Linked DNA regions of Anolis sagrei. The protein of the gene in region 1 purifies or fractionates together with the protein of each later gene. This does not show direct contact. Links are inferred from orthologs where the notes say so. Each region holds a gene or a part of one and is shown on either strand. Other genes may lie near its edges. The genes, in order: HNRNPU, SNW1, BTRC and NPM1.

Region 1 (7,134 bases):
TGATTGTTCTGGATCACTTTACCTTGGATTTCAATGTTAGCACAGACCTAGTCTCAATTCTTCACAGTGCACTGAGTTAAACACAGAGCATGGTTGTGGTGACCCAAATCACTTTAAAGGGGACAATGACTTAGAAGCCATCAGCACCTTTGTGATAGGAGATATTTTGTATATTATTTCCAGAACAGAAAGCAAGCATTTATTTATCGTGTCAGAAGCAAATTGAGAATACAGTTATAATGTATAAAAAACACAAATTTAAAACTTGGCATTATGCTAGATTTCCTTTGACTAGAAGCTGACCACTTGGAATGTCTCGCATGTGGCTGTAAGGAGGTCCTCCATTGTGCATGTGGCAGGGCTCATACTGCATTGTAGAAGGTAGTCTGTGGTTTGCTCTTTTCCACACTTGCATTTCATGGACTCCTCTTTGTAGCCCCATTCCTTAAGGTTGGGTCTGCATCTCGTGGTGCCAGAGCACAATCTGTTCAGTGCCTTCCCAGTCACCCAGTCTTCTCTGTGCCCAGGAGGGAGTTTCTCATCTGGTATCAGCCACTGCTTGAGGTGCTGCATTTTAACCTGCCACTTCTGGACTCTCGCTTGCTGAGGTTTTCCTGCAAGTATCTGTAGATCTTAGGAAGCTGTTTCTTGATTTAAGACGTTGGCTTGCTGGCTGATATCCAAACAGGTGATGGGCTGGAGATGTCAATGCCTTGGTACTTTAACTGCTGGCTGCTAGTTCCTGGTGGATATCAGGTGGTGCAATACCGGCTAAACAATATAATTTCTCCAACAGTGTTGGGCATACATGTCCTGTGATAATGTGGCATGTCTCATTAAGAGCCACATCCACTGTTTTAACAGGGTGAGATGTATTCCATACTGGGCATGCGAACTCAGCAGTAGAGTAGCAAAGCGCAAGGGCAGATGTCTTAACTGTATCTGGTTGTGATCCCCAGGTTATGCCAGTCAGATTTCATATGATATTGTTTCTAGCACCCACTTTTTGCTTGATAGTCAAGCAGTGCTTTTTCTAAGTCAGAGCACAGTCCAGACTAACTTCCAGGTATTTGGGTGTGCTGCAGTGCTCCAGTGGGATTCATTCCCAGGTAATCCTGAGCTCGAGATGCTTGTCAGTTCTTAAGATGAAAAGCACATGTCTGTGTTTTAGGTGGAGTAGGAATCAGCTGGGTTTCTTTGTAATAGGCAGTAAGAGTGCCTAAAGCTTTGGGAAGCTTTAGGCACTCTTACTGCCTATTAAAGCTTGAGTGGTGATAGCACAATTGTCAGTATAGATGAAATTCTGTCCCTACTGGCAATAAGCAAGTAAGCCTCTGTATATTAATGGCTGAAGAACACAAGTTCCCACAATCATTTTAAATCTAGTTGCCTATTGTGGGAAGAGAATAAAGGATTGGGTGTACTTGGGCTGTTTATGTGACCTAGTACATCAGCATGATTTTTCTTGCAGAATGCAAGTGAATACTGGATTGTTGTGTCCAGGCTAAATGGGGCTTTATATGTGCGTGTGTGTACACACACCATGAGAAATTACGGTTCTATGACACCACATTCACTTGCAGAAAATAGCGAAGACTTTTAGAAAATACTGATGAAAATGAAAGAAGTTCAAAAGCAACGTGACAATTGAATACTATGAAGACGCAGATTATTCTCCACACCTTTGCTCAATCATTAATCAAAATGAGGAATGCTGCCAATAAACCAGAAGACTTGGAAGTGTGGCCGTGAAGGAACTTGATAAGACCCTCAAGCCTAAAGATGTATTATTAAACATCAAAGTCAGAATAATCCAGATCAAAATGGTTCTTAAGCCTGATAGGAAGAAAATCAACACATTTGAAATTTGAAGAAGAGTCCTGAGAGCTGGCATAGAGTTGCTGTTCTTAACTGCCGTCAGTCAATTTTGACTTTGACCTCAAGTCCCTCTATTGCCAGCCTCCTTTTTAAAATCTTGCTGACTCAGGACTGTGGCTTCCTTTAGTAAGAACCTATCTGGAATACTGTCCGCTTTTTCCTATTGCCTTCTAACTTAACAAGCATTATTGTCTTTTTTAGTGAGCCATGCCTTTTCATGATATGACCAAAATGGTTTCCGTTTATTCATCGAGCGAGAGTTCAGGCTTGATTTCTTCTATGGGTCATTGATTTGTCTTTTTAGCAATCCATGGTGTCCACAGAATTTTTCTTCTGCACTTTTAAAACGGAATGATATTCTTCCTATCAGTTTACCCACTGTTCAGCGCCCTTCATTCTTCAGTTTTCACAACTGTACATAGAAGTGGGGAATACAATCCCATGGTCAGTCCTAAGATACAATGATCTATTTTACACATCAGAAGTTCCTTCATAGCTGTCTTCTTCTGATTTCTTGACTGCAGGCGCCATCCTGAATATCGACCGAGCCAAAGTATGGAGAATCTTTATTTCAATGTCTTTGCTTATTTCTAAGTTATATAGTTGTCATTATTTTTAGTTTGCTCCATGTTCAACTGTAAATTTGCCTTTGCACTTTTGTCCTTGATTTTCTGCAATATTCATTCCAAGTTCTTGCTATTTTTTGCTGGTAGTACGGTATAATCTGTCTATTTTAATTTTTTGATGTCCCCTCCCTAAAGAAATTAGATTGGCCCCCACTCGAGTTCAAAAACATGGCTTTTCAGACAGGCCTTTGACCCTGTATAATCTATGATCAGCTCGAGGATCGAGTCACTCTGCACTTTGATTTGTTACGGCAAATAGCCAGCTTTATTTGCAGATTCTACTGTGGTTTAGAAAATTTTATAATCTTTTACAATTTTTATAATCTTATCAGTTGGGTTTTTATGTGCATTGTTGCTTTAATATTTATCTCACTTTATATACTACCTATGTACTGTTGTTTATAAGCACTTGGGGTGTTTCTGTGAGCCGCTCCGAGTGGTGGTGAGAAGATTTAGACCAGGGGTCCTCAAATTAAGGCCCGAGGGCCAAATACGACCCTCCAAGACTGTTTACCCGGCCCTCGCTCAGGGTCAACCACGTCTGAAATGCCTTGAAAGCATGCAACAACAACAATCCTATCTGATCGGCCAAAAGCAGCCCCACACTTCCCATTGAAATACTAATATATTTCTATTTGTTAAAATTGTTCATTTTAATTATTGTATTGTTTTAAAGTTTTTTTTGCACTACAAATAAGATGTGTGCCGTGTGCATAGGAATTCTTTTTTTTTTTTCAAATTATAATCCGGCCCTCCAACAGTTTAAGGGAATGTGACCTGGCCCCCTGTTTAAAGAGTCTGAGGACCCCTGGTTTAGACCACTTGGCATGGAATGACCCCTTTGGCAGAAAAGATCTTGTAAAACTACAGCTCCCACAAAGCCAAAGCATTGAGCCCTGGCATTTACGTGGTGCCAAACTGCATTAATTCTACAGTGTAAATGCACCCCTTGTTAAGGGGTTTCTGTTGTGTCCAATTCTGGGCACCACAATTCAAGAGAGATGTTGACAAGCTGGAATGTGTCCAGAGGAGGGCAATTAAAATGATAAAGGGTCTGGAGAACAAGCCCTATGAGGAGCGGCTTAAAGAGCTGGGTATGTTTAGCCTGAAGAAGAGAAGGCTGAGAGGAGATATGATAGCTATGTATAAAAATATGTGAAGAGGGAGCGAACTTGTTTTCTGCTTCCTTGGAGAATAGGACGCGGAACAATGGCTTCAAACTACAAGAGAGGAGATTCCATCTGAACATGAGGAAGAACTTCCTGACTGTGAGAGACGTTCAGCAGTGGAACTCTCTGCCCCGGAATGTGGTGGAAGCTCCTTCTTTGGAAGCTTTTAAACAGAGGCTGGGTGGCCATCTGTCAGGGGTGATTTGAATGCAATGTTCCTGCTTCTTGGCAGGGGGTTGGACTGGATGGCCCATGAGGTCTCTTCCAACTCTTTGATTCTATGATAAGGCCTGAAGGCTTTGGCTGCGCACTTACGGTAATGCTGCGCCAGGGCCTGCACTTACGGTAGCGGCGCGGGTGGGAGGGAGGGAGAGAGAGAGGAGGGGGAGAGAGGGAGAGCGGGAGCGCGAAGGGGCGTGGCTAGGCCATATAAGGCGCGGGGCGGGGGCGGGGCAGCGTGGCGTTGCGTGCTCGACCCCGCGAGGCGCGTCCCCGGCCCCTGCCTCGCGAGCCTTGCTGAAAGGATTTGGCGCCAGGCGGGTCTTTCCTTCCTTCCTTGCTTGCTTCCTTCCTTCTCCGCAGCCCCCGAGGAAGGTGATCCGGGCCAGCCGCCGACGTCCAGGCCGCACTCCGCTAGAGCCCCCGCCGCCCACGGAGAGGCCCTCGCCGCTATCGCCATGAGCAGCTCGCCGGTGAACGTGAAGAAGCTGAAGGTGTCGGAGCTCCGCGAGGAGCTGAAGAAGCGGCGCCTCTCCGACAAAGGCCTCAAGGCCGACCTGATGGAGCGGCTCCAGACGGCGCTGGACCGCGAGGAGGCCGGCGGCGGAGGCCTGGCCGAGCCGGGCAACGGCAACGCCGAGGAGGAGGAGGGCGGCGCGGCGGGCGGCGCCTCGGAGCAACTCCTGGCCCCGGCAGCAGGCGGCGGGCCCGGCCAGGCCGCGGCCTACGACGACGAGGAGGAGGAGGCCGAGTTCGGCGGCTGCGCGGAGGAGGAGGACGACGAGGAGGAGGGCATGGAGGTGGGCGAGGAGAACGGCGAGCGGGCCGCCGCCCGGGAGGAGGACTTGGAGGAGGAGGACGAGGACGAGAACGGCGACGACCAGGGCTTCCAGGAGGGCGAGGACGAGGAGGACGAGGCCGCCTCAGCCGCCGCGCCGGCCGGCAGCGGGACCGGGGGCGGCAATGCCAACGGCCACGGGGCCAAGGAGGCTCCCGGCGCCAAGGCAGCCGCGCCCGAGGCCTCCGCGGCTCCGGCGCCTTCGGCCCAGACCGGCGCCAAGCAGGCCTCGTCCGGGGCTCAGTCGCAATCGCAGCCGGCGGCGGCGCCTCAGCAGCAGCAGCAGGCCCAACAGCCCAAGCCCGGAGGGGCCGCGCCGCGTCCTGCGGGTGAGTCGTGCGTGGGGCCCGGATGGGCGTCGGCGGTTGGCGCCTCGGAGCGGGGTCAGGGCGAGGCGCCATCTTGGTTTTCCCCCCCTTTCCCTCCTGTTTCTGTGAAGAAGAGAAAGGGGGGGAAATCTAGGCCTCGCGCGCCAAGAGGCGCCTGTAATGGTGGTGGTGGGATGGGGGAGGGGCTTCCGCCATTTCGCGCGCGCAGGGTGGGGGGGAAGGAGAGAGAGCGCAGCGCGCAGGAGCCGCTGGGGCGCGCTGTGGAGCCCTGCGAGGAGGGAGCGCTTTCTGCCGCTTGCGTCACTTCCGCCCGTGAGGCGCTGCGGGCTCTGGTTCAAACCTTGAGCACAAAAGGAGGCGGGGGAGTCCAGGGAGAGGCAGCGCCTGCCGGAAGCCCCCGCTAGAGGGCGCCCTGACGCCACGCGGGATTTGATTTTCTGTCTTGTCGAAGGCTTTCATGACCGGAATCCCTAAGGTTTTTGGGTAGTATGGCCATGTTCCAGAAGCATTCTCTTCTGGCGTTTCGCCTTAATCTATGGTCTCACAGCCATGCCTGCCATAGATGCAGGCGAAATGTCAGGAGAGAATGCTTCTGGAACATGGCCATACATCCGGAAAACTTGGAGCAACTCATTTTGTCTGTTGTTTGCGTGACTTAATTGTATGGCTTCCAACGTTCCCTTTTTTCCCCCTCCCGCAAAAAGATAATAAAGAAGCCAAATCTGAGCAAAAATCCGGAGAGAAAAAAAGGGGAGTGAAAAGGCCACGTGAAGACCATGGACGAGGTTACTTTGAGTATATTGAGGAGAATAAATACAGCAGGTAAATATAGTAATACACAATTCTTGATATACATATATCCATATATTTTTTTATATATTCATATACATACATATATTTTAATTGTGTGTGTGTATATATATACACATACATACATTATATATATAAAATATGTATTTTTAGTTCATATATAATATCTATTTTTCATTTTTAAAATCCCTATTGATGGATTGTATTCAAGCGATTTCTTTTATTGGTTAGGGCCAAATCTCCGCAGCCACCAGTTGAAGAAGAGGATGAACACTTCGATGACACAGTGGTTTGTCTTGATACTTGTAAGTACAAAAGAAGTGTTCTTGTCTCTTCAAATACATTTTTCAGGATGACAACTGTAATGTATTCAACAGTTGCTTTTATATATTTGTATATATGGATAATATGATCATAGCAGGCATAATTTCAGCTGTAGTTCATATACTTAATATTTTCGGATGTTAGCCTGCTTTTAGTCACATTAGAGCAGGCAGGGGAAAACTTTGGCCCTCCTGGACTTCAACTCCCACAATTCCTAACGACCTCAGGCCCTTTTCCCCCTCAGCTGCTTAAGCTTGAGTGGCTGAAGGGGAAAAGGAAAGGGCCCGAGGCTGTTAGGAATTGTGGGAGTTGAAGTCCAAAACACCAGGTGGGCCAAAGTTTTCCCCTGCCTGCATTAGTCTGTTCATACTAGTGTAAAAGTCATACTAGGTCTAAAAGGCAAAGCATGAAATGAAGAATGTATATTGTCAAACCAGATTTCCATTCTGTACTTTTCCAAAAGAGCTGTTGAAAAAATAAGTTGCCTGAAAACAGCAGATTTTATCTTGTCTTTTCTGGTGTTACGTGCTGGTAGGATTCCATCTGTAATGCAAATATCTTAAATTCTGAGCTTTGCACATTTTTAAAAAACTAGAATTCTGTCAAGTATGTGGAAAAAATGGCAGGTGTGGAGTTACTCTATAGAACAGGGGTTTGAAGTCTTGACCCTGGAAACCCATTGGGTAACCTTGAGCAAGTTGTATACTCTAGAAGCCCCAGAAGGTGGCAAAGGCAAACTCGCTTCAATAGAGTATTTACCAGAAAAGCCCAGTGATGCATTCATTTTCATTAGGATTTCCACAAGTCATTAATGACTTGAAAGCACAGAATGATTTTAAGAAACAAAAGCATGATACCATATTGTTTTATCAAGAGGCCTAAATCCAAAGTTAGAAATAGGAAGTTTCATTACTGGGCAATTCAGAATAGAAAATTCCAGT
Region 2 (7,794 bases), about 250 Mb from region 1:
ATTTACAGCATTGTGTTACGTTGTTTTTACTAATTGATAAATAATTATTTATTTTCTTAATTATGTATTTAATTGATATGTAATTATTGTCTATGTTATATTATTTATTGTATTTATTGTATTCCAGAAAGAGGGGGCAGGATATAAATAAAGATGATGATGATGGTGATGATGATGGTGATTATTATTATTATTATTATGAAGTCGACCTGGAGGGCCAAAGTTTGCCCATGGCTGCTTAAGACCCTATAGATAGAACTTCAAACTCCAGGATTCCATAGCATTGAGCTATGGAAGTTAGTAGTGTCAAAAGACGTCATCAAACTAGAAAATGAATCCACTTTAAACGTTAAAGGCTCCTCCCTAAGCTACAAACCCCTATCCATGGAACGTTGTAGGGTCATAGCTAGACTCCTGGAATGGTGGATATAATTCTATGATATCCTTCCCATTATACACAATGAATCTATGATGCAAACAAGATTCAGGTCACAAAGACAGACAATTTTGGCCACTGAGCTCCATTAGCCAGCATAGTGTAGCGGTTTGAGTGTTGGAGTATGACTCGAGACCTGAATTCGAATTCTCGCTCAGCTATGGAAATCCAATGGGTGACTTTGGGCAAGTCACATTCTCACTCCAAAGACAAAAACAAAAAAACAGCAAACCCTTTCAGAATAAATATTGCAATAAAAAACCAGTAATTTTAGGGTCACCATAAATCGGAAATGGCTTGAAGTCATGTAACAATAAGTCTTTCTTACATAATGCTTGTGACCCTGATTAGTTTCTCACATAAACTATATTATATTCAAGACCTGTTATCAAGTATCAACATTCTCAATAAGCTGTGATATTTCCAAAATCTTCTCTGCCACCACTGTCAATAATCAAGGATAAATGGGCTCATTAGGAACAATGGAAGTGTTGATGACAAGGGAAAACATTTGCAGGTGCGAAAGCCGAAGCTTCCTGTACAGCTGGCTTCTAACTCAGGCCTCCCTATCACTAGAAAGAAAAATAATGACAAACATCACCATTCCAGGAAGATAGAGCTGATTTCTTTTCTAAAGCCACACTGGTGTAATTACGATAATGATAAACAGATTCTGAAAAAGTTTAAATATATTCTCTAGAAGAAAACACCACGAAAAAGAGAATTTTACTGAGCAGTAACACTGTCAATGGAGATACACTAGTTCTAGGGCAGTGGCTCTCAACCTGGGGTCCCCAGATGTTTTTGGCCTTCAACTCCCAGAAATCCTAAAATCTGTCAAACAGGCTGGGATTTCTGGGGGTTGTAGGACAAAAACATCTAGGGACCCCAGGTTGAGAACCACTGTTCTAGGGACTAATAAGCCTGTTATGCACATCCCTGCCTTGGGAAAAGGTTCACGGTCCAGTTTCCTAGTGAAAAGATATTCTGGAAAATTATGCAAATTTTCTACAACCAGTTTATTTGTAAGCAATTACAGTGAACAAAATATGTAGTAACACAGAGATCAGCATTCGCTTAATTTCCTAAATGTGCCTTTATGTACAATATTCATTACAAAATTTTATAAAGTCTTTATATATAAAATCTCAGCCTGCAGATGTTTGAGCTCGCAAAACTCAAAAAGTAGTCGGCCGATTGACTTGACATTTCGACACAAGGTTACATTCCAATACGCACGTGTTTTTAGAGTAAAATGAAATTTTGACACAATGTTGCATTTGAATACACACGTGTATTTAGAGTAAAACAAGTAGTCCGGGAGTAGACAAAGGAATCTGTGATGCCCAAATCAACCACTCACAGCCTAACTTTTATTTTACCTCAGCAGTATAAGAAATGAAATCTAAGCTCTAGCAACCAATTGCTGTACAGCTTTCCTTTTGCCTCAGCAGTAAAAGAAATAACCTATCACAAAACAGCTTTCATTTTACCTCAGCAGAAGAAATAATCACAGACCAGCTTTCCTTTTATCTCAGCAATATAAGAAAAATAGTTGTCGAGGCCCACTTTGGAATCTTGGCCTTTGGAAGCTGAGCTGTCCGCTGTAATTAGTACTGAACTGGCTTTTAAATTTTAAATATGTACGATTGTTATATAGTACTATGTTTATACTTTTTATAATGCCCTTCTGTATGTTTTTATGTTGGTAATTGCAATGCTTTACCATGATGGAAACCGCCCTGAGTCCCCTTGGGGAGATAGAGCGGTATACAAATAAAGGTTTATTATTATTATTTGATAAAATAACATATTTGGTTTACTCACAACATTCATGTGTTCAGCATACATAGCGATAAAACTTATCAGTCCAGTTTCAGATATGTCTGAGATGGTTCCCTGTGCCAGTCAACCAGGGCATCTCTCTTGTAACAAAAATAACTGTCAACAGGTCACATAGTAGTCAAAAAGGAGAGGAAGAGAGCCTGTGGTCTGCAGCCCCTCTTATAACTTCTCAGGAACCATAGAGTAAAGGAAGCTGCATACCAGAGCATACATACAGGAAACAGGAAACAACAGGATCATTGATAAACATTACTAGAGAAGGCTTGAAGAAAACTGTCATTTCCAACAAAAGGAAGGACAAAAGATGGGAGAAGAAATGGGGAAAGGGATGGAAGAAAGAAAAAAAAGGAAAGAAAAAAAGGGAAAAGGAACAAAAGAAGTGAGGGAAGGGGAGAAAAAGAAAGGCAGAGTACAGAAAAAGAAGAGGAGGTAGATATTTTAAGGAAAAGCATGGGAAGAAGGAAAGAAACAAAGAAATACTGTGTATTAAGGAAAGGAAGAAAAGAGCCACAAAAGAAAATGCAAACTCAGGCAGTGCCATGTATATACCCTAGGTAAAGGTAAAGGTTTTCCCCTGACATTAGGTCTAGTTATGTCCAACTCTGAGGGGTGGTGCTCATCTCCATTTCTAAGCCGAAGAGCCAGTGTTGTCCATAGACACCTCCAGGGTCATGTGGCTGGCATGACTGTATGGAGTGCCGTTACCTTCCAGTCGAAGTGGTACCTATTGATCTACGCATATTTGCATGTTTTCGAACTATTAGATTGGCAGAAGCTGGAGCTAACAGTGGGAGCTCACCCTGCTCCTCGAATTTGAACTTAATTTTTGATCAGCAGGTTCAGCAGCTCAGCAGTTTAACCTGCTTTGCCACTGAGGGCTCCTATTTATCTAATCGTGTGTGTGTGTGTCTGTGTATGGATGTTGGCTAGTTGGTTTGTACCACAAAGGCTCCTACATGGCTTGATAGATTTGGACCAAACGTGGCACACATACCCTGCACTATCCAACTTAAATTAATTGAAGGGGTTTTGAACTGAAAAAGCCACCCTTTTTTGCTAGGTTGGCAGAAGCTGGGGCTAACAGCAAGAGCTCACACCACTTCCTGGATTCGAACCTACGACCATTCGGTTAACAAGTTCAGCAGCTCAGCGGTTTAACCCACCAGTGGTTCTTTGAGTTGTGTATAAAATTACCTTTAAGATACGTATATAAGGTGCAAATGAAACAAAACAAGAATGATTGACAACTGGAAAATAGAGGGAGAAAATGTGGAGGCCGTGACAGACTTTGTATTTCTAGGCGCAAAGATTATTGCAGATACAGACTGTGGCCAGGAAATCAGAAGACGCTTACTTCTTGGGAGGAGAGCAATGTCCAGTTTCGATAAAATAATAAAGAGTAGAGACATCAGACTGGCAACAAAGATCCGCATAGTCAAAGCCATGGTATTCCCTGTAGTAACCTACGGATGTGAGAGCTGGACCTTGGGGAGGGCTGAGCGAAGGAGGATCAATGCTTTTGAACTGTGGTGTTGGAGGAGAGTTCTGAGAGTGCCTTGGACTGCGAGAAGATCCAACCAATCAATCCTCCAGGAAATAAAGCTTGACTGCTCATTGGAGGGAAGGATATTAGAGACAAAGTTGAAGTACTTTGGCCACATCATGAGGAGACAGCAAAGCCTAGAGAAGACAATTATGCTGGGGAAAGTGGAAAGTAAAAGGAAGAGGGGCCAACCAAGGGCAAGATGGATGGATCCTTGAAGTGACTGGACTGACCTTGAAGGAGCTGGGGGTGGTGACGGCCGACAGGGAGCTCTGGCGTGGGCTGGTCCATGAGGTCACGAAGAGTCGGAGATGACTGAACGACTGAACAACAAATCTGCAGAGTCCCTGAAACTTGGAACTATAACAAACATTAAATGGAAAGCAAACAAAATTGGAGCTCCTGGTGCAGTTGTACCTGCACAATAAGAGATACACAATCTATACTGCAGAGAATGTAAAATACAAGCGTCTCAACCAGGCCTGGGCAAACTTGGGCCTTCCAGGCGTTTTGGACTTCAACTCCCACAATTCCTAACAACCAGGCCCGGGCAAACTTGGGCCTTCCTTGAGGGCCTGAGGCTGTTAGGAATTGTGGGAGTTGAAGTCCAAAACGTCTGGAAGGCCCAAGTTTGCCCAGGCCTGGTCTAAGCAATCCTTTGGGCCCATCTACTTGTTTCCATCTGTTGGCAACATCCATTCTCATTACTGTCATAGTAATCCATATCTTCCATACTCCAAAATGGTCCTTATAAAGGCTTTCTTTCCTTGCTGATCATTTAAATCTTGCCACTTGAGTCTGAATGTTTGGCTAATAAGTTCCACTCTGTACCAAACTGAGTGTTGAATCCAGTTGTTGTTCTGCTCCTTCAAGCCACCACATCCCGCTCTGAGGGCGGCGCATGCGCAAACATGTCGCGAGCGTTCCTCTCCGCCTGTAACACTACAATTCCCAGCATGCCCCTGGCTTCCGGGCCAGTTCCGTCGAGGCTTCTCGTTCAGCGCCCGGCCCTCAAAGGTGGAGGAAGAAGGAGAGCGGCAAGATGGCGCTGACCAGGTGAGTTTTGTCGCTGCGAAGCGGGAGCTTATCAGAAATTGGAAGCCGATAGCCACCCCGTTCCCTGAGCCTTTTACGGGAAAGTCTCTGGTTGTAATTGATTTCCGTGGAGTGTGAGCGGGTTTCGGTGGAGGGGAAAAGCCTCGAGGGAGGCCTAGGCCGCAACGGGCATTCTCCCCTAAAAGTCGGTATTAATAGTATTCTAGTGGGCGGCCTTTCATTATTTCAGACCGCTTCCTAAAGTGAAAAATTGTCTTGTTTGCGTGGGAGGCTGGCCCTCCAGAAACAAAGAAGGGAAGGCCTTGGTGTTCAGTAAAGATAGGCAGGGGGCCATTGTGAAATTGTAACCTGAAATGGTTCCAGTTGTAACCTGAAGTGGGGTTGGGTTGGCATGGGCAAACTTTGCCCCCCCCCCCATGTTTTAGACTTCAACTCCCATAATTCCTAACAGCTGTCCAGAACACCTGGAGGGCGGAAGTTAGCCCATGCCTTGCTTGGCCTCTTTGGCCCCTTCCACACCACCCCACTTTCCTCCTCCTGGAGGTGCTGGAGGAAAGTGCTGAGAGTGCCTTGGACTGCGAGAAGATCCAATCAGTCCATCCTCCAGGAAATAAAGCCCGAATGCTCATTGGAGGGAAGGATACTAGAGACAAAGTTGAAGTACTTTGGCCACATCATGAGGAGACAGGAAAGCCTAGAGAAGACAATTATGCTGGGGAAAGTGGAAGGCAAAAGGAAGAGGGGCTGACCAAGGACAAGATGGATGGATGGCATCCTTGAAGTGACTGGACTGACCTTGAAGGAGCTGGGGGTGGTGACGGCCGACAGGGAGCTCTGGCGTAGGCTGGTCCATGAGGTCACGAAGAGTTGGAGACGACTGAACGAATGAACAACAACACACCACCCCAATATTGCAGGATCTGATCCTAGATTATCTTGCAGTGGAGACTCATATAACCCAGTTTAAAGCAGATAATCTAGGATCAGAAAAGGTATTTTGCCTGACTTATTATTATTATTAACTTTATTTGTACCCCGCTAACATCTCCCGAAGGACTCGGTGCGGCTTACAAAGGCCAAGGCCCTCAATAAAACAACAGCATAACAAATGCAACAATAAAACTCATAAAGCAAACCAATAAACATTAAAGCAATAACAGTAAAACATCAAACAATACATCATGACACAATTAAAACTAGGGCCGGGCCAAATGTAATGAATAAATTAAAAGTGCTGGACATGACAGGTGAAATGTAAGGATTTTAGGTTAGGTGCGATGTACAGGCAATCATCTCTGGTAAAGTGTGCTTGGGACATGATGCTGGGAGTTTTCTATTCTGGAAAGGCACACTGGAACAGCCAGGTCTTCAAGCTCTTCCTAAAGACTGCCAACGTTGGGGCTTGTCTGATGTCCTTGGGGAGAGAGTTCCAGAGTCGGGGGGGGGGGCTACCACAGAGAAGGCCCTGTCCCTCGTCCCCACCAAACGTGCTTGCGACGCAGGTGGAATCGTGAGCAGGGCCTCTCCAGATGAACGGAGGGATCGTGTGGGTTCATATATGGAGATGCGGTCACGCAGGTAGGCGGGTCCCAAACCTTTTAGGGCTTTGTAGGTGAGCACCTGCACCTTGAATTGGGACCAGGAAATGAACAGCAGCCAATGGAGCTCCTTAAACAGGACTTCCAGATATACAGGAAAAATGGATGAGCAGAAAGCGCTCTCTTCAGGCTGGTTTTTCAGGGCCATGTACTGTCCTTATGGACATGACCTGTGACTATTACTAGCACCTACACTCATAGATTCATGTGGGTAACACACCCTACAGAAAAAGTGGTTCCCTTGGGATCTAGGCGCAGTGTGGAAGGGGCCTCTGAGGGCCACAATATGAATGCTTTCGTCCAGTGTGTCTTGTAGTTCTACAAGATTTTCTTCGCCTTTGCCTCATCAAACAACACATCGCACAATTTCTTTTGTTAACATTGACCCATGGCAACAAAAGTGGTGTCAAACTGCATTATTCCCACAGCGTGGAGCAGGCATGGGCAAACTTTGGTCTTCCAGGTGTTTTGGACTTCAACTCTCACAATTTCTAACAGCCTAGAGTGTTAGGATTTGTGGGACTTGAAGTCCAAAACACCTGGAGGGGTGAAGTTCACCCATGCCTGCTTTATGGTGTTCATTGATGAGAACTGAAGTTCAAAACACCTCAAGGGCCAAAGTTATCCCATGTCTGGTGTAGAGGCATCCTAAGAAGGCAGTTGACTTCTGGGATTTGCAATTTGGCACAGATAGCTGAAAATACAACTCCCAGGATTCCTTAGCACTGAGCTGTGGGAGCTAAAGTGGTGCCAAAGTGCATCAGTTCTCCAGTGTAGATGCCCCCTTGGAAACTCATTGTCAGTTCTTTCTTGTCCTCATCTTTAGAGAGGACAGTTGTCTCACTTTCTCTTCAAGGTGCCAAAACTATTGCTGGCTTGTGGCATCCCTAAGGTGATCCAAGCAAGGGTGTTTTTGACTAGATTTGTTCAGATGGGATTTGCCTTTGACTTCCTCAAAGGTTGAGAGAGGGGCTTAACCAAGGTCAGCCAGTGTGCTGCCATGGATGTGTAGGGATTCAAACCCAGGTCTCCAGAGTCGCAGTCTAAAGGTAAAAAGATTACGTCAGAAATACAGTCCTAAGATGTGGAACTTATCTCCCTGTTCAATACCAGCTCTGCAGTAATGGTTTCAAGGGAGCCACTTTTTCTGTAGGGTGTGTTACCCACAAGAATCTATGAGTGTAGACGCTAGTAATAGTCACAGGTCATGTCCATAAGGACAGTACATGGCCCTGAAAAACCAGTCTGAAGAGAGCACTTTCTGCTCATCCATTTTTTCCTGTATATCTAGAAGTCAAGCAAAATGCCTTTTCTGA
Region 3 (7,220 bases), on another chromosome or scaffold:
TGGGATCTGCACTCATTATTCACCAATACATCACACAGTCCTAGACACTTGGGAAGTGTCCAATGCCTGATCCAATACAACAGCCAGCAGAGTGTCTGCTGTGGACTCATCTTGTTGTGTTTCAAATAATAATAATAATAATTATTATTATTATTATTATTATTATTATTATATTCTAGCGCCACAGTTTTCAAGTTGTATTCCTAGTACTCTAGAAATGTTTTCAAGTATGTCTGGAGAACTTCAATGAGAAGGTGGACAAGTTAACCTGAAAGACAACTTGACCTTCATATTTCCTCTCCTGCAATGCAAAACTGTTGGGGAGTGTTGAATATGTCACATAATGCATTTTGTTGTGCAAGTTCACAGTAGATGACAAAAATCCTCTAATAAGTTTTCAACATGAACTGAGAATTTGCTGCAGTAAAATCAGTGTGTATTGGGAGGGGGATTCCTTGGCAGATGAGTTGAGGTAGGAAGAAGTCCTTGAAGGTAGAAAATTTAAATTAAAAATAAGCTTTTCAGTTTCCTTTTAATCTGTAAGCAGAAAAGCAAAGTTTTCCAAATACACAATCTACGTGTGTGTGTGTGTGGAGGGGGGTAGAGGGGGGTGCTTCCTAAATACAAATATAGGGAAAAGCAAGAAAGGGAATACATATATAGTGCTTATTTAACTGGCACCCATGGAGATTGTTAGATGCGGATAAATGTAACTTCTGGTTGCTTGAGCGTAAGTATTTAAAATAGGCCTAGCTGTACCATAGCATACACTTGACTTCATATTAATATTGAAATGCCGTAATTAAAAGCAAATAAAGACAAATATAACTCAATGCAACACAGTTTTACTGTATTATAAAAACAGGTTTGGGAATGAATTATTATTCTATTTTGTTGTTGTTTCCTTGGGTTCTGGTTAACTGCAAGTCTACTGTATTTGGAATTATTATTTTTAACGCAGAACACATCTTGGATTTTTCATGTCTCATTATACAGCACACATTCTTCTGTTTGCCTGTCATTACAGATGCATCCCTAGATTAATCCAAGGAGGACTCGCTGTTGCCACAGATGTTCCATGTGATCATTTCAGCACTAGCATACCTTAATCCATCCTGACCAGACAGTTACAGCTGCTTCTAGATAACATGGTAGATATTCTATTCCTCTGGGGAAGCAGCAGGTGTTCCTACCTGGGGCCTGAAACTCTTAAGAGGACTTTGGATAAGCAGAACACTCAGTAAAGTTACGCTGTTGTGTTTAAGTAATAAGAAAAGCTTATAAACATACTCTTTCCATAATGATTATTGAATAGCCAGAATTTCTCATATACTTGATGACTTCCATCTAGTTGCAAGTCCTGAATCAGTTGGATTCACATAAATCTTGGCTTCATGTTTGCCAGGTAACACAACAACATCATTGTGTAGGGAATGGAAGGAATGTGAAGGATGCAGTAGATGACTGTGTAAATTATTTTAACTACTACATCCCTCTCAGTTTATCCAGTTAAGATAATATAAACCAACAACTAATCTTCTAAAACTGATGTACTGCTACGAGGCTCACAAAAGTTATGAGTCCTGGAATTAAAGAAATAATACATTTTGAAGATATCAAAGTGAACTGATAATAATTTAAGAGAGACAGATTGTAATGATTTTGGAAGCAACATCATTTAATGAGAGGCTATCTTGTTCATTATGGAGGGGGGGGCTTTTATAACATGCCCATTTTATTATGATTTGGCAAGTGGGGTGAGTCTATAAGAAAGATAAGTAGCCTGCCTAAGACCAACCAATGAGTACGTGGTTGCCCTCACATTTGTCCCTATGCTCTCCAAAGACACCTGCTACATGAAACAAGGTACGAAATGTGGATGCTTACATTCACTTATAATCAGCTGTGGTTATTTTGGCTGTTGGCACTCTTTCCTTCTTTCTGTCGTTTGGTTAACATGACTTTCTTCTCATTCTTTGCTGTCATATTCTCCACTACTAAAATTTAAATTACAAGTACATCTAAAACAAGGACTTAGGGTGCGTCCATACCAAGCATGAGCAAAGTTTGTCCCTCCAGGTGTTTTGGATTTCAACTCCCACAATTCCTAACTAGCTGGGATTTCTGGGAGTTGGAATCCAAAATCCCGGGAGGGCCAAAGTTTGCCCATGTCTGGTCTATATTGTAGAATTAATGCAGTTTGGCACCATTGTAACAGTCATGGCTCAATGCTATGGAATCATAGAGAGGCACCAAGGAGGCCACATACAGCTCTTGTAAAGCTACAACTCCCATTATTCCATACATTGAGCCAAGGCAGCTAAAGTGGTGTCAAACTGCACTGTAGTTCCATGGTTACCAAACGTGAGTCATGCAGTAGTTTGGGACTTCAGCTCCCTTAAGCCTTAAAGCCCTTCCAGACAGGCCCTATATCCCAGGACCTGATCCCAGGTTTTATGTTTTTCCCAGATTATCTGGCAGTGGGGAGTCATATAATCCAGTTTAAAGCAGAAAACCTCGGATCAGATACTGGCATATAGGGCCTATCTGGAAGGGCGCTTAGTCAGGAAATTTGGGATATGAAGCCTCAAAATCTGTACAAAGTTTGGGAATCACTGCTGTAGATTGTTTCCCAAACACAGGGCCCTTCCATATAACCCAGAATATCAAGGCAAAAAAAATTAAATCCCACATTATCTGCTTTGAACTGGGTTATTTGAGCCCACGCCGCCATATATTCCAGTTCAAAGCAGATATTGTGAGATTTCCTGCCTTTATATTCTGGGTTGTATGGCTGTCTGTAAGGGTTCTGATCCCACACTGCCATATATTCCAGTTCAAAGCAGAAAATGTGGGATTTTATTCAGCTGTGTGGAAGAGGCCCCAGAATATCAAGGCAAAAAAAAAAAAAAACCCTCACAATATCTGTTTTCATCTAGATTATTTGAGTCCACACTGCCATATTTATTTAATATATATAAATACTGTAAATAAATAAATATATAAATAAAGCCAAAGTCCTCTAAGGGCCCTTCCACACAGCCCTCTAGCCCAGAATATTAAGGTAGGAAAACCCACATGACCTGAGTGTGGACTCAGATAACCCAGTTCAAAGCAGATATTCTGGGATTTTCTGCCTCGATGTTCTAGGTAGGATATTGGGCTGTGTGGAAGGGCCCAATGAGTTTGGGATTTCAGCTCCCAGAATCTCTGACCATTGGCCAAGGCAGCCGAGGCTTCTGGGAGTTGAAGTCTAAACACCTAGAGGATTAAAGTTTGGGAAGCATTGAAAGGAGCAAATCGTGACAGAGTTTTGTTGTTCTTGTTCATTCGTTCAGTCGTCTCCGACTCTTCGTGACCTCATGGACAAGCCCACGCCAGAGCTCCCTGTCGGCCATCACCACCCGCAGCTCCTTCAAGGTCAGTCCAGTCACTTCAAGGATGCCATCCATCCATCTTGCCCTTGGTCGGCCCCTCTTCCTTTTGCCTTCCACTTTCCCCAGCATAATTGTCTTCTCCAGGCTTTGCTGTCTCCTCATGATGTGGCCAAAGTACTTCAACTTTGTCTCTAGTATCCTTCCCTCCAATGAGCAGTCGGGCTTTATTTCCTGGAGGATGGGCTGGTTGGATCTTCTCGCAGTCCAAGGCACTCTCAGCACTTTCCTCCAACACCACAGCTCAAAAGCATCGATCTTCCTTCGCTCAGCCTTCCCTAAGGTCCAGCTCTCACATCCGTAGGTGACTACAGGGAATACCATGGCTTTGACTAGGCGGATCTTTGTTGCCAGTCTGATGTCTCTACTCTTCACTATTTTATCCTGATTGGTCATTGCTCTCCTTCCAAGAAGTAAGCGTCTTCTGATTTCCTGGCCACAGTCTGCATCTGCTGTAATCTTTGCACCTAGAAATACAAACTCTGACACAGCCTCCACATTTTCTCCCTCTGTTTTGTGACAGAGTTTACAAGTCCCTATTAGAGGTCGAGGCTCAAGTCAGAACTACAGCTCCCATCAGCCCTTGCGAGCACACGCTCTCACTTCCCTCAGCGCCTATTCTCTCCTCCTCCAAGAGGCGGCCTGCTCAGCGTATCCCCTGTCGCAGGGCTTGTTGGGAAGTGTAGTCCAATAGCGGTGCCGGAATCTGCTCGGTAAACGGGCCTGGGACTACATTTCCCAGTGAGCCGAGCGGGAGGAAAGCAGGGGCTTCCTGTTTGCCGCTGCGCTGTCTGCGGCCTTGCACTGAGGGAAAGGGAGGGAGAGCGGGGGCGGCCTAGGCCCAGGCCTCAGGCCCGGAGCTGGCGGGGGAGCAGCGGCAGAGGAGAGGGGCGATGGACCCGGCCGAGGCGGTGGTGCAGGAGAAGGCCCTCAAGTTCATGGTGAGGAGGAAGAGAGAGGGAGGGTTTGTGGCGGAGGGAGGAAGTGAATGGCGAAGAAGAAGAGGAGGAGGAGGGAGGCGATACGGGCTGAGAGGTTTCCCTGGCAACCCGGGGTACCTGCGAAATGAGGTAGTGGCTGGAGGAGAAGGAAGGGGGGTAAGCCCGCCATAGCTCTTCCCTACCTGTTTCCAAGAATCTTTAATATGTGTTTTTTAAATTCAACAACAAGGCTCTAAACTGCAATGATGGAGGCTTTGTGGTATCAGTGGCTGGTTGGAGGAGGAAGAAGGACAACGATTGGGAAGCTAGTGAAGGAAAAGTAGTCAAGGCCTGAGAAGAGGGAATGATGCAGCAGCTGATGGGATTTAGCATTCCTTTGGCTTTGAAGAGGGTTCTTGGTGACAGACTTTGAATGATGCAGGTGATGGGTTTATCTTTGTTTGTTTTTAAGTGGAGGGCTGTATTTGTTCTAAGCCAGGGCCCTTCCACACAGCCATCTATATAAATAAAAATGTAATGTTCGTTTGTGGGATTCATGTAACTCAAAAGCTACTGGATGAATTGACACCAAATTTGGACACAATACAACTATCAGGTCAACAAATGACCATCACTCATAAAAACACTGAAAAACACAGTGGAAGAGACTTAAAAAGCCCCCCCCCCAATACATTACAACGCATGTGCAAAACCACATATATACACATATACACAAATATGCATATTTATACACACACAAAACATATACACCAACTGTACCACAGAAATTCGTGGCAGGGACGGCTAGTATAAAATAGATTATCAAGGCAGATAATCCAAAATAACTTCTTTGAACTGGGTTATCTGAGTCCACACTGCCATATAACCCAGTTCAAAGCAGATAATGTGGGATTTTATGCAGCTGTGTGGAAGGGGCCCTAGAATATCAAGGCAGAAAATCTCGCAATAAGTCCACACTGCGATATAACCCCTTTCAAAGCAAATAATGTGGGATTTTATGCAGCTGTGTGGAAGGGGCCCCAGAATATCAAGGCAGAAAATCCCGCAATAACTGCTTTGAACTGGGTTATCTGAGTCCACACTGCCATATAATAATAATAATAATAATAATAATCTTTATTTATACCCCGCCACCATCTCCCCAATGGGGACTCGGAGCGGCTTACATGAGGCCAACCCCAAACAGAAAATTACAATAAAATAAAACCGAAAACGCAAACAATAAACAACAAACAACATAATTACATAAAACATAAGAGGGTTCTTGGTGACAGTATGAATTATGCAGGTGATGGTTTTTATGGTTGTTGTTTTTTAAGTGGAGGGCTGTATTTGTTCTAAAACAAGGTTAATACACCCAGGGCCATTCCACACAGGCATATAAAATAGAATATCAAGGGAGATAATCCACAATAACTGCTTTGAACTGGGTTATCTGAGTTCACATTGCCATATAACCCAGTTCAAAGCAGATAATGTGGGATTTTATGCAGCTGTGTGGAAGGGGCCCTAGAATATCAAGGCAGAAAATCCCACAATAACCGCTTTGAACTGGGTTATCTGAGTCTACACTGCCATATAATAATAAACTTTATTTATACCCCGCCACCATCTCCCCATTGGGGACTCGGAGCGGCTTACATGAGGCCAACCCCAAACAGAAAATTACAATAAAATAAAACCGAAAACGCAAACAATAAACAACAAACAACATAATTACATAAAACATATGAAAATATAGCAATATAAAATTACAATAGGCACAATCACAATGACAAAGGGCGGGCTACATATAATGATTAAAAGAGAGACTGATTAAAACTAATTAAAACTCAGGCGAGATAAGAGAGAGTCAGATTATTTGCGGAGGAGGACTCATAGTGGGGGTTGTGGAATCAGGCTTTTTCACAAAGGGGGGGGGCATATACTCCAATGATAAAACGTTGAGGCTAAGCAATAGTGTGAGAATGTAAACCTGTTCATCAACCTAGTTCAAAGCAGATAATGTGGATTTTATGCAGATGTGTGAAAGGGGCCCCAGAGAATCAAGGCAGAAAATCCCACAGTAACTGTTTTGAACTACTGCCATATAACCCAGTTCAGAGCAGATAATGTGGGATTTTATTCAGAGGTGTGGAAAGGGCCTAGGCTAATACATCAGGTTAATGAAATCTTGGGTCATATTATTTTAAAAACTAAACTAGGTTGAAGTAAAAATGTTCAAGGTCTAACAAAAGGGGGTGATGGGTTAGCTGATGGGATTTCGCAATACTTGGTATAGTAGACTCTCAGGGATTTGTAGATGTCACATCAAAGTACTTTTTGGTTACGTGAGAGTTACCATTAAAAATAGGCCTCATACTATACCCCATTATGGACCCACCGCCAGGACTCTACTGCCACCGTGACTAATAGCCTATGGTGATAATAATGGAAAGCCAAAGAGTATGAAAGACGCTGGTGTGTTTTTAATTTTTTTTAAGTGGATGGTTTTCTAAAATAAGCTTAATACACTCAGGCTAATAACAAGATTAATGACATCTTGGGTCATTCTTAAAAATTAAAAAATGAACTAGAATGATGGGGCTTTATTGTGTTTTGGTAGAGGAGAGGAAAGAAGTCCAAATATTGGAAATATACTGAAGGAAAACCATGTGTGTGTGTGTGTGTCAGGAGTGACTTGAGAAACTGTAAGTTGCTTCTGGTGTGAGATAATTGGTCATCTGCAAGGACGTTGCCCAGGGGATGCCCGGATGTTTGATGTTTTAGCATTCTTGTGGGAGGCTTCTCTCATATTTCTGCATTGGGAGCTGGAGCTGACAGAGGGAGCGCCACCTGCTCTCCC
Region 4 (6,957 bases), about 87 Mb from region 1:
GATATGGGGGTTCTGTGCGGGAATTTTGGTCTAATTCTATCATTGATGGGGTTCAGAATTCTCTTTGATTCACATTTGGGCATACTGGCATATTTGTGCCAAGTTTGGTCCAGATCTATCATTGCTTGAGTCCACAGTGCTCTCTGGATGTAGGTGAACTACAACTCCCAAACTCAAGATCAATACTCACCAAATCCTTCTAGTATTTTCTGTTGGTCATGGGAGTTCTGTGTGCCAAGTGTGGTTCAGTTCCATCGTTGGTGGAGTTCAGAATGCTCTTTGATTGTAGGTGAACTATCAAGCCCATCAATCACAACTCCCAAATGACAAAATCAGTGCCTCCCCCAACCCTACCAGTATTCAAATTTGCGTGTATTGGATACTTGCATCAAATTTGCTCCTGTAAATGAAAATACATCCTGCATGAGTCCCTCTATGGAGGTAGAGAAGATTAGGATATAAAAGTTTTAAGTAAATAATAAATATATATTAGATATTTACATTATGATTCATAACAGTAGCAAGATTGCGGTTATGAAGTAGCAACGAAAATAATTTAATGGTTTGGGGTCACCACAACATGAGGAAATATATTAAGGGGTTGTGGCATTAGGAAGGTTGAGAAACTTTAGTTTACATTTAGTCCCTGAGGGTTAACGTGTCAAGTCTCAATATCCAATCCATTTTTTTAAAACAGAGCCCTCACATTATCTGGGAGAAATGTTTCTCAAGCACCAAATGGGCTTCTAAAGTAAAGAAATGACTACTGAAGGCCCCTTCCACACATCTGAATAAAATCCCACATTATCTGCTTTGAACTGGAATATGTGGAAGTGTGGACTCAGATAACCCAGTTCAAAGCAGGTATTGTGGGATTCTCTGACTTGGTATTCTGGCTTTATATTGTGTGGAAGGGCCCTAAATTAGTGCTTACCAGGTCTCCCCTAGGGGTCTTGGGGTGCATCTACACTGTTGAATTAATGCAGTTTGAGACTTGCTGCTATGGACTTATGGGAGTTGGAATTTGGAAAGGCAATAGCCCTTCTTGGCCCCTTCCACACAGCTGTATGAAATCCACACTGAACTGGATTATTATATGGCAGTGAGGACTCAGATAATCCAGCTCAAAGCAGATATTGTGAATGATATTCTGGGTTATATGGCTGTGTAGAAGTGCTCTTTGTCAGAGAGGTCTAAAGACCTTGTAAAACTGCAACTTCCATGATTCCACAGCACTGAGTCATGGCAGTTCATATTGTGTCAAACAGCATTAATTCTGAAGTGTGATTAATACCACAAGGCCCCTTCCACGCAGTTAAGTAAAATCCCACATCTGCTGTGAATTGGGTTATATGGCAGTGTGGACTCGGCGCCCTTCCACACAGCCATATAACTCAGAATATCAAAGTGGAAAATCCCACAATACCTGATTTGAACTGGGTTATCTGAGTCCACACTGCCATATAACCCACTTCAAAGCATGTGTGGGATTTTATCCAGCTGTACAGAAGGGCCCTCAGATAGCCCACTTCAAAGCAAAGGGACAAAACAATCTTCAGGCGGGGGGGGGGGGGGGGCTTTTATTTTATCATCTCACCGCTGCCACCAATTGAAATGGAAAGCAGGGCAATCTTCAGGTAGGGTGGATCATTTCTTCCATCATCCCACCGCTGCCACCAATTGAAACAAAGTAGGGCACTCTTCAGGCAGGGGGGTCTTTTATTTTATCATCCCACCGCTGTCACCAATTGAAACGAGCAACCACTTCAGCAGGGTGGACCTTTACTTTGTTATCCCACCATTTGTGTCCCTTTAAGTTGGAGGTGAGAGGTTGACAGACTTTGCTTAAATTGAAACAGTAACTGTTAAGTTTATTTGCATTGTTGTGACAAAGGCGTGCTGGTTTGCAAGAGTATAAATGCTTGTTAGTTACAAAAATGTGAATATTCCTTTATGAAGATGATACATTCCAGCCTTTTCTTTTTCCCAAAAGGACTTTTTATATTAACACAAGAAAACTGATTTCTAACTGCCTTGAACCTGACATAGAGATCCTGACCACTCGGTCCTTTAAAACCTCTCTACTGTCATTAGCCTCCTGGTATCAGTCAACTACCCTAGGTATCCCCTAGCTAATTTTCCAGCTGCCTCCAGCTGCTTACTTACTTAGGCGATCCCTCGTAGTCCAAGGATGATGGTCCTCCAAGTGTAGTGTCCTGGCAGTGGGTCTGTAGGTGACTGTGGAGCCCTATTCTTGATCTGCATCTTCTTTCGCAGTGAGGGCATTGGTTTCCAGGTGGAAGGCGGTCCCGGTCGGGGTTGGCTTGATGCGCCTTCCTCTTGGCACGTTTCTCTCTTTCACCTTCCATTCGTGCCTCTTCAAATTCTACAGCACTGCTGGTAATGGCTGACCTCCACCTGGAGTGCTCAAGGGCCAGGGCTTCCCAGTTCTCAGTGTCTATGCCAGAGTTTTTAAATTGGCTTTGAGCCCATCTTTGAATCTCTTTTCCTGTCCACCAACATTCCGTTTTCCATTCTTGAGTTCGGAATAGAGCAATTGCTTTGGGAGACGGAGGTCGGGCATCCAGACAATGTGGCCGGTCCAGTGGAGTTGATGGCAGAGGACCATCGCTTCAATGCTGGTGGTCTTTACTTCTTCCAGCACGTTGACATTTGTCCGCTTGTCTTCCCAAGAGATTTGCAGGAATTTTCGGAGGCAGCACTGATGGAATGGTTCCAGGAGTTGCATGTGACATCTGTAGACTGTCCACGTCTTGCAGGCACATAACAGGGTTGGGAGGACAATAGCTTTATAAACAAGCACTTTGGTATCCCTACGTATGTCCCAGTCCTCAAACACTCTCTGCTTCATTCGGAAAAAAGCTGCACTCGCAGAGCTCAGGCAGTGTTGTATTTTGATGTCAATGCCGAATTTTGTGGAGAGATAGCTGCCAAGGTAGCCGAAATGGTCAACATTTTCTAATGTTACACCATTAAGTTGTATTTCTGGCATTGGAGAGGGATTGGCTGGTGACTGCTGGCAGAGCACTTTAGTTTTCTCAATGTTTAATGACAGGCTGAGCTTCTTGTAAGCTTCTGCGAAGGTGTTTAGAGTGGCTTGTAGGTCATCTTCTGAATGTGCACAGACGTTGTCATCAGCATAACTAACTCAGACTCCAGCTAACTCACCAACTGACCCTTTTCAAACCAACATTCTTTTCTCCATTGGCAGTTGGCTCCGCCCCTTTCTTTTCTGCCTGGAAGCTATGTTGCTATGGCAATGCCTAGGCCTGAGGCCACCAATCAGCTGACAATAATAAACATACCTAAAACCTACATTTTAATTATACATTTTGTTACACCTGCCTTGATATTGTGGGTTATATGGCTGTGTGGAAGGGCCCTCAGATAACCCAGTTCAAATCAGATGTTGTGGATGACATGCCTTGACATTGTGGGCTAGATTACTGTGTGGAAGGGCCTCTTAGTCAGCTGCCAGAAAACAACATCAACTAAGAAAGCTATTAGGGCCCTTCCACACAGCCCTCTAACCCAGAACATCAAGGCAGATCATCCACAATATCTGCTTTGAACTGGGTTAGCCGAGTCCACACTGCCGTATGAGCCAGTTCAATGTGGGACTTTATATTGCTGCGTGAAAGGGCCCCTAGAGGAGGAATGGAGCGATACAAGGCGCCGCCATCTTGCTCGGTGGGCTGCTGCGCGTCTTCTCGCTCTCTCAAGAGACGCACAAGGTGGAAGTTGGGACGCGCATGCGCGGAGCAGAGGGCTCCTTCGCTCCCTTTTTGGCCCCCGCTTGCCTGGCGACCGCGTGCGCCCCTTCCGAGCACGCTCGCGCCTGCGCACCCAGCCAGCGGATGGGCCAGAGCATCACTTCTCGCGAGACCTACGAGGGCTATATATTGGGGGAAGGGAAAAGAGGCGGGCCCTTTTCTGCGGGTGCGCTAATTCCGTCCGTTAGACCCAGCAAGCGCCCTTCGGCTGAGGAGAGAGAGAGAGACGACGCTGTTGAGGAGATGGAAGACACCGACATGGACAGCATGGGCTCCCTTCGGCCACAGACCTTCCTCTTCGGTAACCATCCCGCGCCCCCCCTCACGCTGCCTTCCCTGGCTCGCCATGAGGCCTTCCCACGTGGCTTGGGCCTCCCTTAACCTCGGGGTCTTGCGGGCCTCCTTTGTCCTCCCTTCGTCCTCAGGCTGGACGGGAAAGGGAATCTGCCGCCACCTCATGAGGCTTGGGCCTAGCCGTCTTCCATGTGGCCTGTGGAGCGAGAAGGAAGGCCCCAAGCCTCTCGGCCCCGAATCTAGCCCGAATCAAGCTCTTCTTTACTTGATTCTCCCTCTGCAATAGGATCCGTGCGCCTTGGGGCATGATTATTATCGAGAAGGCGAGCTCGCTGCCTCTCCTAGGTTAGGATTTCAAAGCAAGATGGGGCTCCCTTCCAACTCCATTATTGCTCCATCTCAGAAAAAGCCACAGGACCCCCTATATCCCAGAATATCTGCCTTGAACTGGGTTATCCATACTGCCATATATTCCAGTTCAAAGCAGAACATGTGGGATTTTATTCAGCTGTGTGGAAGGGGCCCAGCCTCCTGCAAGAATCATGCAAGGCCTCAGGCCACTTCCACACCACTCTATATCCCACTATCTAATTCCAGATTATCTACTTTGAATAGGATTATTACTATTATTATGCTTATAATAATAATAATAATAATTCCTGCAAGAATCATGGATAGAATCATAGAGTTGGAAGAGACCTCATGGGCCATCCAGTCCAACCCTCTGCCAAGAAGCAGGAATATTGCATTCAAAGCACCCCCAAAAGATGGCCATCCGGCCTCTGTTTAAAAGCATCCAAAGAGGGACCCTCCACCACACTCCGGGGCAGAGAGTTCCACTGCTGAACGGCTCTCACAGTCAAGAAGTTCTTCCTCATGTTCAGATGGAATCTCCTGCTAGGCCTTAGGCCACTTCCACTCCACCCTATATCCCACAATCTAATCCCAGATTATCTACTTTGAATAGAATCATAGAATCAAAGAGTTGGAAGAGACCTCATGGGCCATCCAGTCCAACCCCCTGCCAAGAAGCAGGAATATTGCATTCAAATCACCCCTGACAAATGGCCATCCAGCCTCTGCTTAAAAGCTTCCAAAGAAGGAGCCTCCACCACACTCCGGGGCAGAGAGTTCCACTGCTGAATGGCTCTCACAGTCAGGAAGTTCTTCCTAATGTTCAGATGGAATCTCCTCTCTTGTAGTTTGAAGCCATTGTTCCGCGTCCTAGTCTCCAAGGAAGCAGAAAACAAGCTTGCTCCCTCCTCCCTGTGGCTTCCTCTCACATATTTATACATGGCTATCATATCTCCTCTCAGCCTTCTCTTCTTCAGGCTAAACATGCCCAGTTCCCTAAGCCGCTCCTCATAGGGCTTGTTCTCCAGACCCTTGATCATTTTAGTCGCCCTCCTCTGGACACATTCCAGCTTGTCAATATCTCTCTTGAATTGTGGTGCCCAGAATTGGACACAATATTCCAGATGTGGTCTAACCAAAGCAGAATAGAGGGGTAGTATTATTACTATTACTATGTTTATTTTATACCCCACTTTCTCTCTCCAGAAGATGACTCCAAAGTGGCTTAGTTTTTCCATGCATTTTAAACTCTACAAACATTAAAATGGAATTGAGTAATATCATTGCTATCTCTTTTATGTCCACATCTTTGTTTTCAGGATTGTTCATTATTTAGTTTGTCAGAAGTGACTTGAGAATGTAATAATATATAAAAAACCCCACAAAGTTAAAAACTGGGACTTATCCCAAAATTCCTTTGACCAGAAGTTGGCCACTTGGAATGTCTCTTGTATCGCTGTAAGTAGGTCCTCTATTGTACATGTGACAGGGCTCAGATTGCGTTGTAGTGAGTGGTCTGTGGCTTGCTCTTCTCCACACATGCATGCCATGGACTCCACTTTGTAGCCCAATTTGTTAAGGTTGGCTCGGCATATCGTGGTGTCAGAGAGCATTCTGTTTAGTGTCTTCCAAGTCACCCAACTTTCTGAGTTTCTCTTCTGTTCCCAGCCACTGATTGAGGTTCCAGGTTTTAGCCTGCCACTTTTGGACGCTCGCTTGCTGAGGTTCCAGCGAGTATCTCTGTAGTTATTAGGAAGCTGTTTCTTTATTTAAGATGCTGGCTGATATCTGAACAGAGGATGGGCATGCATATTCAGCAGCGACTTTCATTATTATTATTATTATTATTATTATGTTTATATCTTGTTTTTTCTCTCCATACGGAGACTCGGAGCGGTGCACAACTAAAAGCAACTAAAGCATTGAAATACAACTTAAAATACAAAATACACACATATTAAATACAAAATACACACTTATTAAGCAACATTAATATTAAAAAACAGGTTAAAGCCTTAAAAGTATATAAAATCACAGCAGCCATTTATGGGTTAGTGCTGTACAAGATGTGCCTCTTTGTCTTCTGAGGCTGGATATATACTGCCGTATAATGCCGTTTTAATCTTCATTATATGGCCAGTATAGCTGCAATATGTGAGTCTACACTGACCATGTGATGCAAATTCAGACTGCATTCTATAGCAGTATACATCCAGCCTCTGAGCAGTGCTTTGAATCCCTGGTCCCATAAAAAGTACAGGTATTTTGAGCCTCCATTATCAGAATTCCCCAAATACTCCCAAAATTGTCCTCATGGCTGAGAGTGACTCCTTCACTTTCTGGTGGGTCAGTGTACCCAAACTTGGTCTCATGCTCAAAATTATTAAAACTGATTTGTATAAATTTACCTTGAGGCTTTGTATATAGGCCACATCAGTGGCCTATATACTGTGTATAGAGGTTGAGTCTCCTTTGTCCAGAGCAACTCTGGTTGTTCATACATGAAATGGTTAAA

Evidence for each region.
Region 2: the proteins of HNRNPU (region 1) and SNW1 purify together in Homo sapiens (affinity purification with mass spectrometry; 3 studies listed by BioGRID and IntAct, with this or other methods). This does not show direct contact. The link is inferred for Anolis sagrei from reciprocal best matches to the Homo sapiens genes HNRNPU and SNW1.
Region 3: the proteins of HNRNPU (region 1) and BTRC purify together in Homo sapiens (affinity purification with mass spectrometry; 6 studies listed by BioGRID and IntAct, with this or other methods). This does not show direct contact. The link is inferred for Anolis sagrei from reciprocal best matches to the Homo sapiens genes HNRNPU and BTRC.
Region 4: the proteins of HNRNPU (region 1) and NPM1 purify together in Homo sapiens (affinity purification with mass spectrometry; 3 studies listed by BioGRID and IntAct, with this or other methods). This does not show direct contact. The link is inferred for Anolis sagrei from reciprocal best matches to the Homo sapiens genes HNRNPU and NPM1.

Annotation. Positions count from the first base shown.
Region 1 is NC_090021.1:54,920,928-54,928,061, forward strand, and holds the start of HNRNPU (heterogeneous nuclear ribonucleoprotein U), read left to right. Parts: upstream 1-4,133; 5' UTR 4,134-4,350; coding exon 4,351-5,059; intron 5,060-5,763; coding exon 5,764-5,881; intron 5,882-6,100; coding exon 6,101-6,174; intron 6,175-7,134. UniProt on the Homo sapiens protein: DNA- and RNA-binding protein involved in several cellular processes such as nuclear chromatin organization, telomere-length regulation, transcription, mRNA alternative splicing and stability, Xist-mediated transcriptional silencing and mitotic cell progression.
Region 2 is NC_090021.1:307,230,611-307,238,404, reverse strand, and holds the start of SNW1 (SNW domain-containing protein 1), read left to right. Parts: upstream 1-4,775; 5' UTR 4,776-4,866; coding exon 4,867-4,880; intron 4,881-7,794. UniProt on the Homo sapiens protein: Involved in pre-mRNA splicing as component of the spliceosome. As a component of the minor spliceosome, involved in the splicing of U12-type introns in pre-mRNAs.
Region 3 is NC_090023.1:216,207,652-216,214,871, forward strand, and holds the start of BTRC (F-box/WD repeat-containing protein 1A), read left to right. Parts: upstream 1-4,213; 5' UTR 4,214-4,327; coding exon 4,328-4,375; intron 4,376-4,454; exon of another isoform or gene 4,455-4,531; intron 4,532-7,220. UniProt on the Homo sapiens protein: Substrate recognition component of a SCF (SKP1-CUL1-F-box protein) E3 ubiquitin-protein ligase complex which mediates the ubiquitination and subsequent proteasomal degradation of target proteins. Recognizes and binds to phosphorylated target proteins.
Region 4 is NC_090021.1:142,281,741-142,288,697, reverse strand, and holds the start of NPM1 (nucleophosmin), read left to right. Parts: upstream 1-3,934; 5' UTR 3,935-4,037; coding exon 4,038-4,095; intron 4,096-6,957. UniProt on the Homo sapiens protein: Involved in diverse cellular processes such as ribosome biogenesis, centrosome duplication, protein chaperoning, histone assembly, cell proliferation, and regulation of tumor suppressors p53/TP53 and ARF.